Oryctolagus cuniculus: one gene and its partners. The protein of the gene in region 2 binds, or shares a complex with, the protein of the main gene of each other region. Links are inferred from orthologs where the notes say so. Each region holds a gene or a part of one and is shown on either strand. Other genes may lie near its edges. The genes, in order: PLRG1, PPIL2 and CRIPT.

Region 1 (3,648 bases), on a different chromosome or scaffold from region 2:
ATTGAAGAGTCAAGACAGCTACCTTTAATTCTTTACCAAACAATATGAGACTAACGGCAAACATAGACATTACCAGACACAAAGTATTTACAAATATATAGCTCTATCTCACCCGTGCAGTTGAATCTCGACTACAGGTTACCAGCACATCGATTGTTGGGTGCAAATCCAAGCCATACACTGCGCTCAGATGTCCATGATAGTGCCTTATAACCTAAGGACAGAGCAGGGAAGTTAAAGTCTGTACAAGCAGAAAGATAAAGGGTGTCTTGTCAAGTTTTAAGCCCTTATCCCAGTGGTTACCTTATTATACTCAAGATCCCAGCACTTTACTTGCTTGTCTTCTCCACAGGAGAACAGGTATGGGCTCCTTGTGCTTACTATCACGCCTCGCACTGTACTAATGTGCCCAGTCAATGACAGTTTTAATTTGCCGCTAGCCAAGTCCCATATCTGCAATCAAACAGTAATTATTTTTCCTTTATGTTGGTTACTTTAAAGCAAATTTTAGAATCCTGATGTTAAAATTAAGTCTTCAAAAAGAAGGGAAAAGATAAAAATAGATACAAAGAAATAAATATGCAAAATGACTTCCCTCCAAATAAAAGCAGGGGAGTGTGCGTTGGTGGTATAGTGGTGAGCATAGCTGCCTTCCAAATAAAAGCAGGGGAAAAAAAGACAAGACAAGCCCAAACAGAAAATATTTTCCAGAGTTGACAAGGTTAATATTATTAATATATAAATGATATAACTATAATAGTAAAAATAACATGGTATTAAATTAGAAAAGACTGACAACTTAAAAAAACCTGAAAGTAGCAAAGATATGAAAAAGCTCAATTTCTTTTCTTTTTAACTTTTTTTTTTTAAAGATATTTACTTATTTTAAAGTCAGAATTACAGAGATATAGAGATCTTCCATCTTCACTCCCCAAATGGCCACCAACAGCCAGGGCTGTGCTAGGCAAAGCCAAGAGCTTCATCCAGGTCTCCCAAGTGGGTGCGGGGCCCAGGCACTTGAGCTATCTTCTGCTGCTTTCCCAGGCACATTAGCAGCGAGCTGGATCAGAAGTGGAGCAGCCAGGACTCGAATCAGCACTCATACAGGATACTGGCATTGCAGAAGGTGGTTTAACTGGCTATACCACAGCACCAGCCACAAGAAAACTTAATTTCACTAGAAATTTTGTATAAACAGTGTTTAAAAAATTAGATACCCATTTTTGCTTATCATAATAGTTTTATTTTTTAAAGGAATACAGAATCAATATGCTGAAATCAGTCTTCTCCTGGACTGCAAGTATCAGTTTACCCACAGAGGAAACTAATTTTTAATCCACTAACTCCATTTCTTTGGCTCTATCGTAATAAAATAATTCAAAATACAATACATTTTATTTTATATTCAGGCCTAAGAAATCAAAGGAAATGCAACAGCAACGTCCACCACAGGAAATAATGTGAAACAGACCAAGCTTCCATGGCAAATAGTCATGTTCATTTTTAACTTCCTTATTACCTTTATTGTTCTGTCAGCAGATCCTGTAACAAACCATTGGTTTCCAGGTTCCACAGCAATACATCGAACCCAGCCAAGATGCCCACTGATAACCTGTATTAAAAAGTAGAGCATGATTCAACCCTTATGCTAGCACATGACATTTTAATCACAAGTCAGATTTAAACTGCCATCCTCACATCTTCAAATACTAACAAAATTATTTGAAAACTAGGCTTTAGAATGAGAAATATTATCTTCAAAGGTGAATGGACACACAAATTATGACACATTTGCACAATGCAATACTAGTCAGTAATAAAAATGGATGAATCATTAATATATTTAACAGTCTGGAGGAATCTCAAAGGCATTAACCTAAGTGAAGGAAGTCAGTCCCAGAAGTATACACCGAGGGGCTGGCATTGTGGCTCAGCAGGTTAAGCCACGGACAGCAATGCCAGCATCCCACATCAGAGCACCAGTTTGAGTACCGGCTGCTCTGCTTTCCATCCAGCTCCCTGCCAATGTTCCTAGGAAGGCAGATGACGGCCCAAGTACTTGGGCCCCTGCAACTCACATGGGAGACCCTGATGGAGTTCCAGGCTCCTGGCTTCAGCCTGGCCCACTCCCAGCCATTTCAGCCATCTGGGGAGTGAAGCAGCGGACAGAAGATGTCTTTCGCTCAATTTCTATGTCAGTCTGCCTTTCAAATAAATAAATTAAATCTTAAAAAAAAAAAGTATGTATTGTATGATTCCACCGATATGAGATAGTGGAAAAGATACCACTACAGTGTTGGAACACAGATCAGTTAGTTGCCAGGGATGAAAAAGGGTATGATGATAAAACAGCAGCATTTAGGGGGCCGGCGCTGTGGTACAGCGGGTGGAGCCGCCACCTGCGGTGCAGGCACCCCATATGGGCGTCGGTTCGTGTCCTGGCTGCTCCATTTCTGATCCAGCTCTCTGCTGTGGCCTGGGAAAGCAGTAGAAGATGGCCCAAGTCCTTGGGCCCCTGCACCCGTGTGGGAGACCCGGAAGTAGCTCCCGGCTCCTGGCTTCAGATTGGCATAGTTCCGGCCATCCCAGCCAACTGGGGAGTGAACCAGCAGATGGAAGACCTCTCTCTCTCTGTGTAACTCTGACTTTTAAATAAATCGTTAAAAAAATAAAAATACACAAAAACACAGCAACACAGGGCTGTGTTTTGAGATTATGTAATATTTACATCCTGATGGTGATAATGGTCACCCAGATCTACACATCTATTAATTCATTTGACCTACACACCAAAAGAAACATCTCTATTACTATATAATCATTTGAATACTTGTAAAATTTAAATATATACTAAATTATGTCAGCTGTATTTTTTTTTAATTTTAAAGAGTTACAGAGAGAAGCAGAAACAGAGAGAAAGAGGTCTTCCATCTACTGGCCCACTCCCCAAATGGTTGCAATGGCCAGAGCTGAGCCGATCCGAATGAAGCCAGGAGCCAGGAGCCTCCCCAGGGTCTCTATGTGGGTGCAGGGATGCAACTACTCAGGCCTTCCTCCGCTGCCTTCCTAAGCACATCAGCAGAGAGCTGGATTAAAAGTTGAGCCGCCGGGAATGGAACCTGTGCCCATAGAGGATGCCAGTGTTGCAGGCCAGGGCTTTAACCTGCTGCACCCCAGTGTCGGCCCCTAGTAAATACTTTTCATCTTATATCTGGTACATTAAATCAGTTATTCAGATGAAAGGATAACTGGTAGGTTCAAAGAAATTTTTTTACATGGTTGTTGTATACTTTGGCCTTCATTTTAAATATTCCATTTTCTTAAATTGATGGCTTTCCACATTTAATAGCCTTCTATCAATATTTTATAAGATGTACAAGTATCACTTTTACCTAAGGAAAATTCTTTTCCAAGATATCTTGGCCTAAGCCCCGTCTCATCCCATCTGCAATCACTCTACCAGTTTTCAGTCACGCCTCTTCCTTCTTGTTCTATTCTTCGACTACTGTCAACTGTACAGCAACACGTTTCACACGGCAGAATAAAATGGACATTCGCTCACCCTGTAGAGTTTCCATGGTGGGTGCCACTGGGGTTTGGGCATTGTAGGGGCTTTTTTAGCCATTAGTGCAGAGTTCTTGGTATTGC
Region 2 (3,748 bases):
GAACCTGGTGTGCTGGCGCTGCAGGTGGAGGATTAGCCTAGTGAGCCGCGGCGCCGGCCAATAACTAGATCTTAAAAAAAAAAAAGAGGGCCAGCACTGTAGTGTAGGGGGTAAAGCTGCCGCCTCCAGTGCCGGCATCCCTTATGGGTGCCAGTTCAAGTCCTGGCTGCTCTTTTGATCCAGCTCTCTGCTATGGCCTAGGAAAGCAGTAGAAGATGGCCCAAACCCTTGGGCCCTTGCACCCACGTGGGAGACCTGGAGGAAGCTCCTGGCTCCTGGCTTCAGATCAGTCCAGCTCCAGCTGTTGCGGCCAATTGGGGAGTGAACCAGCAGATGGAAGACCTCTCTCTCTCTCTCTCTGCCTCTCTCTTTGCCTCTCCTTCTCTCTCTGGTAACTCTGACTTTGAAATAAAAAAAAAAAGAAAAAGAAAAAGAAAAAATGTAGACCAGGGTTCTTTTCACCACAGCCTGGAGCACTTTGGTTATTTTAAGCCATATTTTTAAAAAAATCGCCAGTGGGTGGGGCATCTTTCCTCTTCCGTGAATGGAGTCCTCGGCCCAGCTGTCCTGCACAGACCACGGGCTGCCTGTATAATGGGGCCACCCATCCTCTGTACACCCCTGTCCTCGGGGCAGAGAAGACTCCCATGCCTTACCTGGCTTCTTGCCACCATAGAAGTGAGTGTATTCAGCACAGGTGATGTACCTGAGAGGGGGAGGGGGAGGGGACGGGGAGAGGGAGGGAGAGATATCACTACGCTGCCACTGGCCAGCCAGGGGTGAACACGGCAGACACGGGGCTGCACAAACCCATAAATAAATAAACACAGACGGCCCTGCGCTGCTCAGAAGGAAAGGAGGTGATTCACCCAGGAAGACCTGACACATGAGAGCGGCCGGCACGGGCAGACCTGGGGGAAGAGCCCTCCAGGCAGACACACGGGCGGGGCCCGCAGCCACAGCGGGTACCGATGCCCAAGGCAGGAAGAACAGACAGATGTCGCTGGGGAGCTGCGGGCACCGGCGGGTGGCAGCGGAGGAAGACGGATGGGGAGGGGCCTCGCAGGTCTTCCTCAGTGGGTGGGAGACCACGGAGGGTTCGGAGCCAGGGCCCTGCTAGGCAGGATCTGACATCAGCCGCAAAGCCTCGCCCTGGCTGCTGTGCGTAGGAAGACAGCCAGAGCAGCAGCAGAAAATCCACCAGGAATTGACCACTTCCTCCGGGTCTCCCACGTGGGTGCAGGGGCCCAAGGACTTGGGCCATCTTCTACTGCTTTCCCAGGCCACAACAGAGAGCTGGATGAGAAGAGGAGCAGCCAGGACTCGAACCAGTGCCCATCTGGGATGCCGGCACTGCAGGTGGCAGCTTTACCCACTACGCCACAGCACTGGCCCCCAGCACACATTGCTTTCACACCACGGTAAGGTCGGAAAACCCTGTCTGTGGTGGGCGCTGTGGTGCGGTGAGTGAGGCTGCCACCCGCATACCGTACCAGAGCGCCTGGAATCAGACCCCGCCCCTCTGCTTCTGACCAGCTCCCTGCCAAGGCACCTGGGGGGCGGCAGAGGATGGCTCAAGTCACTTGGGGTCCCTACTACCCACGTGGGAGACCTGCATGGAGTTCCTGGCCCAGCCCTGGCTGTGGGGCACTTGGGGGACTGGACCAGTGCATGGTAGATCTTTCTTTCTCTCCCTGTGTCATTCCGCATTTCACATCAATACAAATATCTTTAAAAAAAAATTTTTTTTAATTCTCAGCCTATCACTGAGACAGGAAGGAGAGAGGCAAACTCCAGGGCTGGGTTCTATTTCCGATGATCAGATTAAAATGCGGTCTGTATCAGACCGCCGAAGCGGAGATGCCGGGCTGAACAGACTGCTTCAAGACCCCCGCCACAGACAGTAACCTGTGAGGCCTGGGAGAAACGGGAGGAGGGGGCCCGGCCGACGAACCCGAGAAAAGGGGAGGCCGCTGAAGTTTGCGGGAAAACCACGCACGCGAGATCGCAGAGGTCAACGCCACGGGCTTGAGAAATGACTGGATGACCCCAAGCTCGGCAACAAGGACTCAAGGCGGGGGACAGGGGCTGTGAAAGCCTGGCCCCAGCGGACTCGAGAGACAGCAGCAGACCGGGGCTCGTCACTCGGAAAAGGCGAAGAAACGCGACGGCGGCCGGGGCTCGCTCGCTTCCAACCCCGGGGGGCCCGAGACGCGGCTGCCGGATCCCCGGGCTACCGCAGGGGCTGGGGGCAGCGGTGTCACTGCCCGGCCTGGGGAGTGGGCAGGGGGCTTCCGGGAGGAGTCCTGGGGACTCGACTCTGCGAGGGAAGAGGAGCGACGCGAAGCCCCGGCCAAGCGCGGGGCCGGGCGCGCAGCGGCGAGCCGCTCCCCCGACGCGGTTCCACGTACATCTTGTCTTTCTGGTGCTGGCGTTTCCCCATGGCGGCGAGCGCGGCGGTGGGGTCTTCGAGCGCGGAAAAGTCACGGCCAGCAACCGCGAGCCCACAGACGCCGCCGAGTAGTCGGGCAGCTACTTCCGGGATCCGCGGGCCCACGCCGGAAGCGGGCGCTTGGCATGCCGGGAACTGTCGGGTTTCCCTGCCGCCGAGTGCGCATGCTCCAACGGGGTCTGGGCGCGGTGTGGTACCTGAGACCCTGGACTGAGGGAGGCCGCGCTAGCTTGAGCCCCCTCTTTCTTGGCGGAGCTGTTCTCTCCTCGCACCGCCCCATTTAGCTGCCTGCTCGCTCGTATCCCATTCCCAGAGTGCATTGTGTCCGACAGCCTCCACGCCCCTCGGCAGCCCAGCGACAGGTGGCCATGGACCGTCGCTTGGTCCCTTCTGTCTCTTCTTGAGCCACTTTGGGTCCAACGCTGGGGCCCCGGGTGACCCTGGCCAGCAGCACTTGCGTCTCGGGACTCGCCAAGCTGAGGTGCCGGCGCTGTGGACTCTCAAACCACTGATCTCGGATTTAACACGCCTGCTGAGAAAGCAGAATTCTTGTCCCGCTGCCTCCTTACTCTCCTGTCTCCTGAACGGACTGCCAGCCACCGGGTCACCCAAATTTTGTAACTGAAGGCCTAGGATTGAGGCAGAACCGGGAGGAGGGGCAGACCAATCTCAACTGCTGAGCTTGCTTTTCAAAGAATGTTCCAGCACTGCCCTGGGAGGGGCCAGACCCTCAGCCTAAGAGGAATCCCATAGTTTGAGTCAGATCTCCATGACCTTACCTGAGCTTCATTCTCATACCGAATCCTCTGCCCATGGGAGGGGTTCGCAGTCATTACGGAAGATGCGAGGCGTGAAAGATGTATGGTACCTACACGTCTGGGCAGGAGGGCCCCCCACTGCCATTTTGCAATATGCTGGACACTCCTGGCTGCACCTGCTCCAAGTTCTTGTCTCCACTCGGTGAAGTAATTGGAGGAACACCCTAAGGGCGTACGGGAAAGCAGGATTTAGGTACTCAGATGGCGAAGAGGCAACCTCTCTTCATGAGAAGGAAGGGTACTGCCCCCGCAAAGCTGGGGTCGCCCCTTTCAGGATATGGGATGATGCCCTAATTAAGCATTTTTTTTTTTTGACAGGCAGAGTGTACAGTGAGAGAGACAGAAAGAAAAGTCTTCCTTTTGCCGCTGGTTCACCCTCCAATGGCCACCACGACCAGCGCGCTGCGGCCGGCGCACCACACTGATCCGATGGCAGGAGCCAGGTACTTATCCTGGTCTCCCATGGGGTGCAGGGCCC
Region 3 (3,748 bases), on a different chromosome or scaffold from region 2:
AACAGTAAATTCACTCCCGCATGCTTAGTCTCAGGAGTGGGAACTTACACGACGGCTCCACAGAGGCTCTTACCCACCTTGCTTTTTTTGAAGTCAAAGCTTTATTTTCATTCAGCTTTCTTCCACCACTTTCTGTATCAAAATATTTCAGTAAGTTATTTCTACATACTTAACATCACACCTACTAATTCAGTTAGAAGTTCATCCTTTGACCTCCCACCATTAGAATAGCCTATATCAAAATTTTTAAATTCTCGTGAAATAGCTAAGTTTTTGAGATGCTACTTAGAAAATATTAGGGAAACAATGACGTTTATGTGAGATGCAGTTTTCTTACTCAGACAGCAAGCAGTACTTTAGGGGTGAGTCTACATTTACTCCATCCACTATAAAATCTAGAAGTTACTACTTTGGTGTCACAGACTCTGAGTCCAGTTCAACTTTCGTTTCCTTCCTGGTGAAAACAGCTTAAGTAATTTTTTTTTTATAAAGAAGATAAAAACTAGGTGAGGAGAGGAGAAATTAAATTCGGACTCTACACTATGACACACTCATCACTTGAAAATATTTAGTAGGTTTGCTATCTCCTGCTTACTATGTTAGGAACCTGTGCATGTAACTGGGAGAACTAGAGAGAAGGCATTAAATCACTGGGGGACCCCGTATATTCTTTATAGACAAGATACTCTGAGAATACAACATCTCACTTTACAAATAAATGTAAAAATATATTATTCACAGGTGGTATTTAATTCAATTTCTGTTTTCCAAAAGAAAAAAAATACCTGTGGTATTTCTTGCACCATCCTTCCATGTATCCGGAGTGATAACAGTGCCAAGTTTCTTTTCACCTGTTGTGATAAAATAGTAAAAGGGGCATTATAACTTGCTAGTTAATAAATACACCACATGGTGCCAAGGCTCCCAATGCCATCAACAGTCATATTACAGTGGGAGCCTGTTAATGCTGGGGTAGAGGCTAGTGAACTGAGATTCAAGATTTTTTTTAAAAAAATTTTATTTTATTTGTTTGAAATGCAGGTTGGGGAGGCAGGTGGTTTCCCATTCACTGGTTGGGAGTGGAACTGGGACTCACATCCAAGGATGCAAAACCCAGACACTCTAATCTGGGATACAAGCATCCCAAGTGACAGACTAACACAAATTACATGGGAGGCCAAAGTTAGAGATTTAAGAACCACACCTAAGAGATGAGACATTTGGGCCAGCACATAATATAAAGATATTTAATTCAAACTTACTCAAATACACACACAAGTCCAAAAACCACTGCAAGTACAAGATGAAGCAGAGTTACAGACAGTCAGTGTCAAGTAAGATCATGCACTTTCTGAAGGGATGGACAGGTCAGCCTATGATCACACTGCACAACTCTGAATATACTGAAAACCAGTGAATTGTACACTTAAAGTGCATGAATTGCATGGCATGTGAATTACGTCTTAATGGTTATTTTCTTAAAGCTTAATGTAAGGCAACAATGGTATGTGGTGTAGTATCCAGAAGGAGGGAGGCATTAGTTGCACTCTGGCCCACATATGGAGCAGAGTTTAATTCTGTGTCACGCAGTAGTGAGTTATGACAGAGGACACACTAGGGACCTTTGTACCAGGCATTACCTATGTCATTTCATGTAATTCTCAAAAAAACCCAAGGCTTATGTTGCGTTCTCATTTTCAGATGGGAAATCTGGGAACACCACGCAGCTTTGCCATGGGTCTGTGTGTCCAGACTGTATCCATCTACCACGGGGATGCCCACAGGTCATGTTCATTAGACCATAATCAGGATTAAGAGGAGTGGAACTCTTGTCACAGAAGAGCCAGAGGGAGAGGATTTGGGAACTTGACAGCTGCTTTTAAACACATAAACAGCTTGGTAGGTCCACAGGGTGTATTTTCTACAAATCTTAAGAGTTTGAATTAAAAACACTGGGTGGCAACCACAGAGGAAAATACTTTCCTCAAGCCAGCAATGCCTCCTTGCAGAGACTTCTTCGTAGGTCGTGGGGGTCTCCAGCCTCCCCCACCCAGATACTGTTTCTTTCATAGGATGGGATGCATTCAGAATAAGCAACGAAGCCAATTTAGTAAGGCACGTCCTAAATAACCGAATGGGGCATACTTACAGCACTAAAAAAAAGTATTCGTTGTTTATCTTAAATTAAAATTCAATTGGAGGTCTGGAATTGCTAGATCTCGCAACTCCACACGCTACAGAAATGACTTTTAAGGTCCATTTTAAGCCTGACGGAGGCGGTCGAGAAGCCGTAACTGATGAGGCGAGAGCCAGAAGGCGGCGACGGCAATGGGCAAAAAGGTGCAGAACTAAGGCCATTCTGATGACAAAATATACGGGATTACACAGTCGATGAGGGGCAGGAAGGGTCACAGGGCAAGGGTGGGAGAACACAGGCTAGACTTAGAGACCTGTGGGAAAAGGAAAAACCAAGTTCCCAGGAGAGTCCGAGTAAGTTCTCCCAGCCTCCTCTCCCCACACAAGCGGCCCCTTAACTCACATTTTTCGCACACCATCTTTCCGCCGACGATTCGCCCTCCTCGCCCCAGAATCAGCCGCAGCTTGAAAACATCAACACTACAGCCTGGGAAGAATTTTCCTTCCGGGCTACGTCAATCTACTTCCGGCCCCTAATCCTCCGCTCCCGCCAATCCTACGCCTGGAAAGCCGCGGGAGGCATGAACGCCAGCGGGTAGGCGGGGCTGCCTCGTTTGTCCGCCCATCCCCTTCTGCGATTGGCTGTGCGACCGTGGGTCTCCGCCCCGCGCGCTTGCGCCTGCGCGTGGGCTGGGGCAGCCCGTTGTGCCTTGATGGTGGGAGGCAGTAGTTCCCTTTCCCTTCGCGGGCGGGAGAGTTAGGTAAGCCCCGTTGGCTGCGTTCTCCTCTGGGAGGTGTGGAAGGCGCCTCCGCCAACTGCCCGAGTGGTCGCGAGCTTGCGCGCCCCCGCCGGCCCTCGGAGGGCCTCCTTCCGCGTGACCCAGGGGCTCCCCTGCTGGACCGCTCCTCTTTCTCAGGCGCGTTCCTGCCCGCGTCCCTCAGCTTTCGCCGGCTGACGGGCCGAGCCCCAGTGACCCGGTGTGGGGTGGGGCTGCGGATGAAGTCCGCGACCCGGGCGGCGGCTGCCCCGGGAGGGCTCGCCGGCGCCCTGCTGGCCGGCGTGGGCGGGCCGAGATCGCCGGCGCCGTGGCGGTGGCCCCGCGAAGGCGCGCCCGGCAGGTGTCCTCGTGGGCCCGCCGAGAAGGGCAGGCGCTTCACCTGCCCGGGTTCCTTCGTTCTTTGAGCAGGCGCTGGAGTGTGGCTTCTGCTGCTGGGATTCCGAGGGTGGCCCAGAGAAAGTAAGGGGGATCTGTTGAGAGAATGGATTTCTGTTCCCCCTACCCGACCCGCAGGCAGCTGAGAGTCTGAGAAACTTTGTCCCTGCTTGTCGCCCGTTCTCTACCGGATCCCTCGTGTGTCCCTTTATGTCTGTAGCGCTGGGGAGCTTGGAACAAGTCTCCTGACTTGTTTTTCTTGTTTAATCAGTAAACTACTTGCCTTTGATAAATGACCGCGGGAATCAAATAAGAGCTATTCGCCAGTGAGCTCCATCCTCTCCCCACCCACATATGCTTTTATGTATTTTTTAGGGCTGTTTCTGTTTGGTGGAATATTCACAGTGTAACACGTTGACTATTTAATAAAGTCTGTACTCCACACTGCCAATACAATG

The links.
Region 1: PPIL2 (region 2) and PLRG1 share a complex: the UniProt entries of both Homo sapiens proteins name them as parts of the minor spliceosome. The link is inferred for Oryctolagus cuniculus from reciprocal best matches to the Homo sapiens genes PPIL2 and PLRG1.
Region 3: PPIL2 (region 2) and CRIPT share a complex: the UniProt entries of both Homo sapiens proteins name them as parts of the minor spliceosome. The link is inferred for Oryctolagus cuniculus from reciprocal best matches to the Homo sapiens genes PPIL2 and CRIPT.

The regions. Positions count from the first base shown.
Region 1 is NC_091439.1:11,045,032-11,048,679, forward strand, and holds part of PLRG1 (pleiotropic regulator 1), read right to left. Parts: coding exon 3,563-3,648; intron 1,613-3,562; coding exon 1,520-1,612; intron 454-1,519; coding exon 304-453; intron 215-303; coding exon 113-214; intron 1-112. UniProt on the Homo sapiens protein: Involved in pre-mRNA splicing as component of the spliceosome. Component of the PRP19-CDC5L complex that forms an integral part of the spliceosome and is required for activating pre-mRNA splicing.
Region 2 is NC_091452.1:29,126,985-29,130,732, forward strand, and holds the start of PPIL2 (RING-type E3 ubiquitin-protein ligase PPIL2), read right to left. Parts: upstream 2,630-3,748; 5' UTR 2,444-2,629; coding exon 2,412-2,443; intron 707-2,411; coding exon 657-706; intron 1-656. UniProt on the Homo sapiens protein: Has a ubiquitin-protein ligase activity acting as an E3 ubiquitin protein ligase or as an ubiquitin-ubiquitin ligase promoting elongation of ubiquitin chains on substrates.
Region 3 is NC_091433.1:156,146,967-156,150,714, forward strand, and holds the start of CRIPT (cysteine-rich PDZ-binding protein), read right to left. Parts: upstream 2,693-3,748; 5' UTR 2,556-2,692; coding exon 2,540-2,555; intron 852-2,539; coding exon 786-851; intron 133-785; coding exon 78-132; intron 1-77. Other genes in the region: PIGF (phosphatidylinositol-glycan biosynthesis class F protein), read left to right, coding at 3,746-3,748. UniProt on the Homo sapiens protein: As a component of the minor spliceosome, involved in the splicing of U12-type introns in pre-mRNAs. Involved in the cytoskeletal anchoring of DLG4 in excitatory synapses.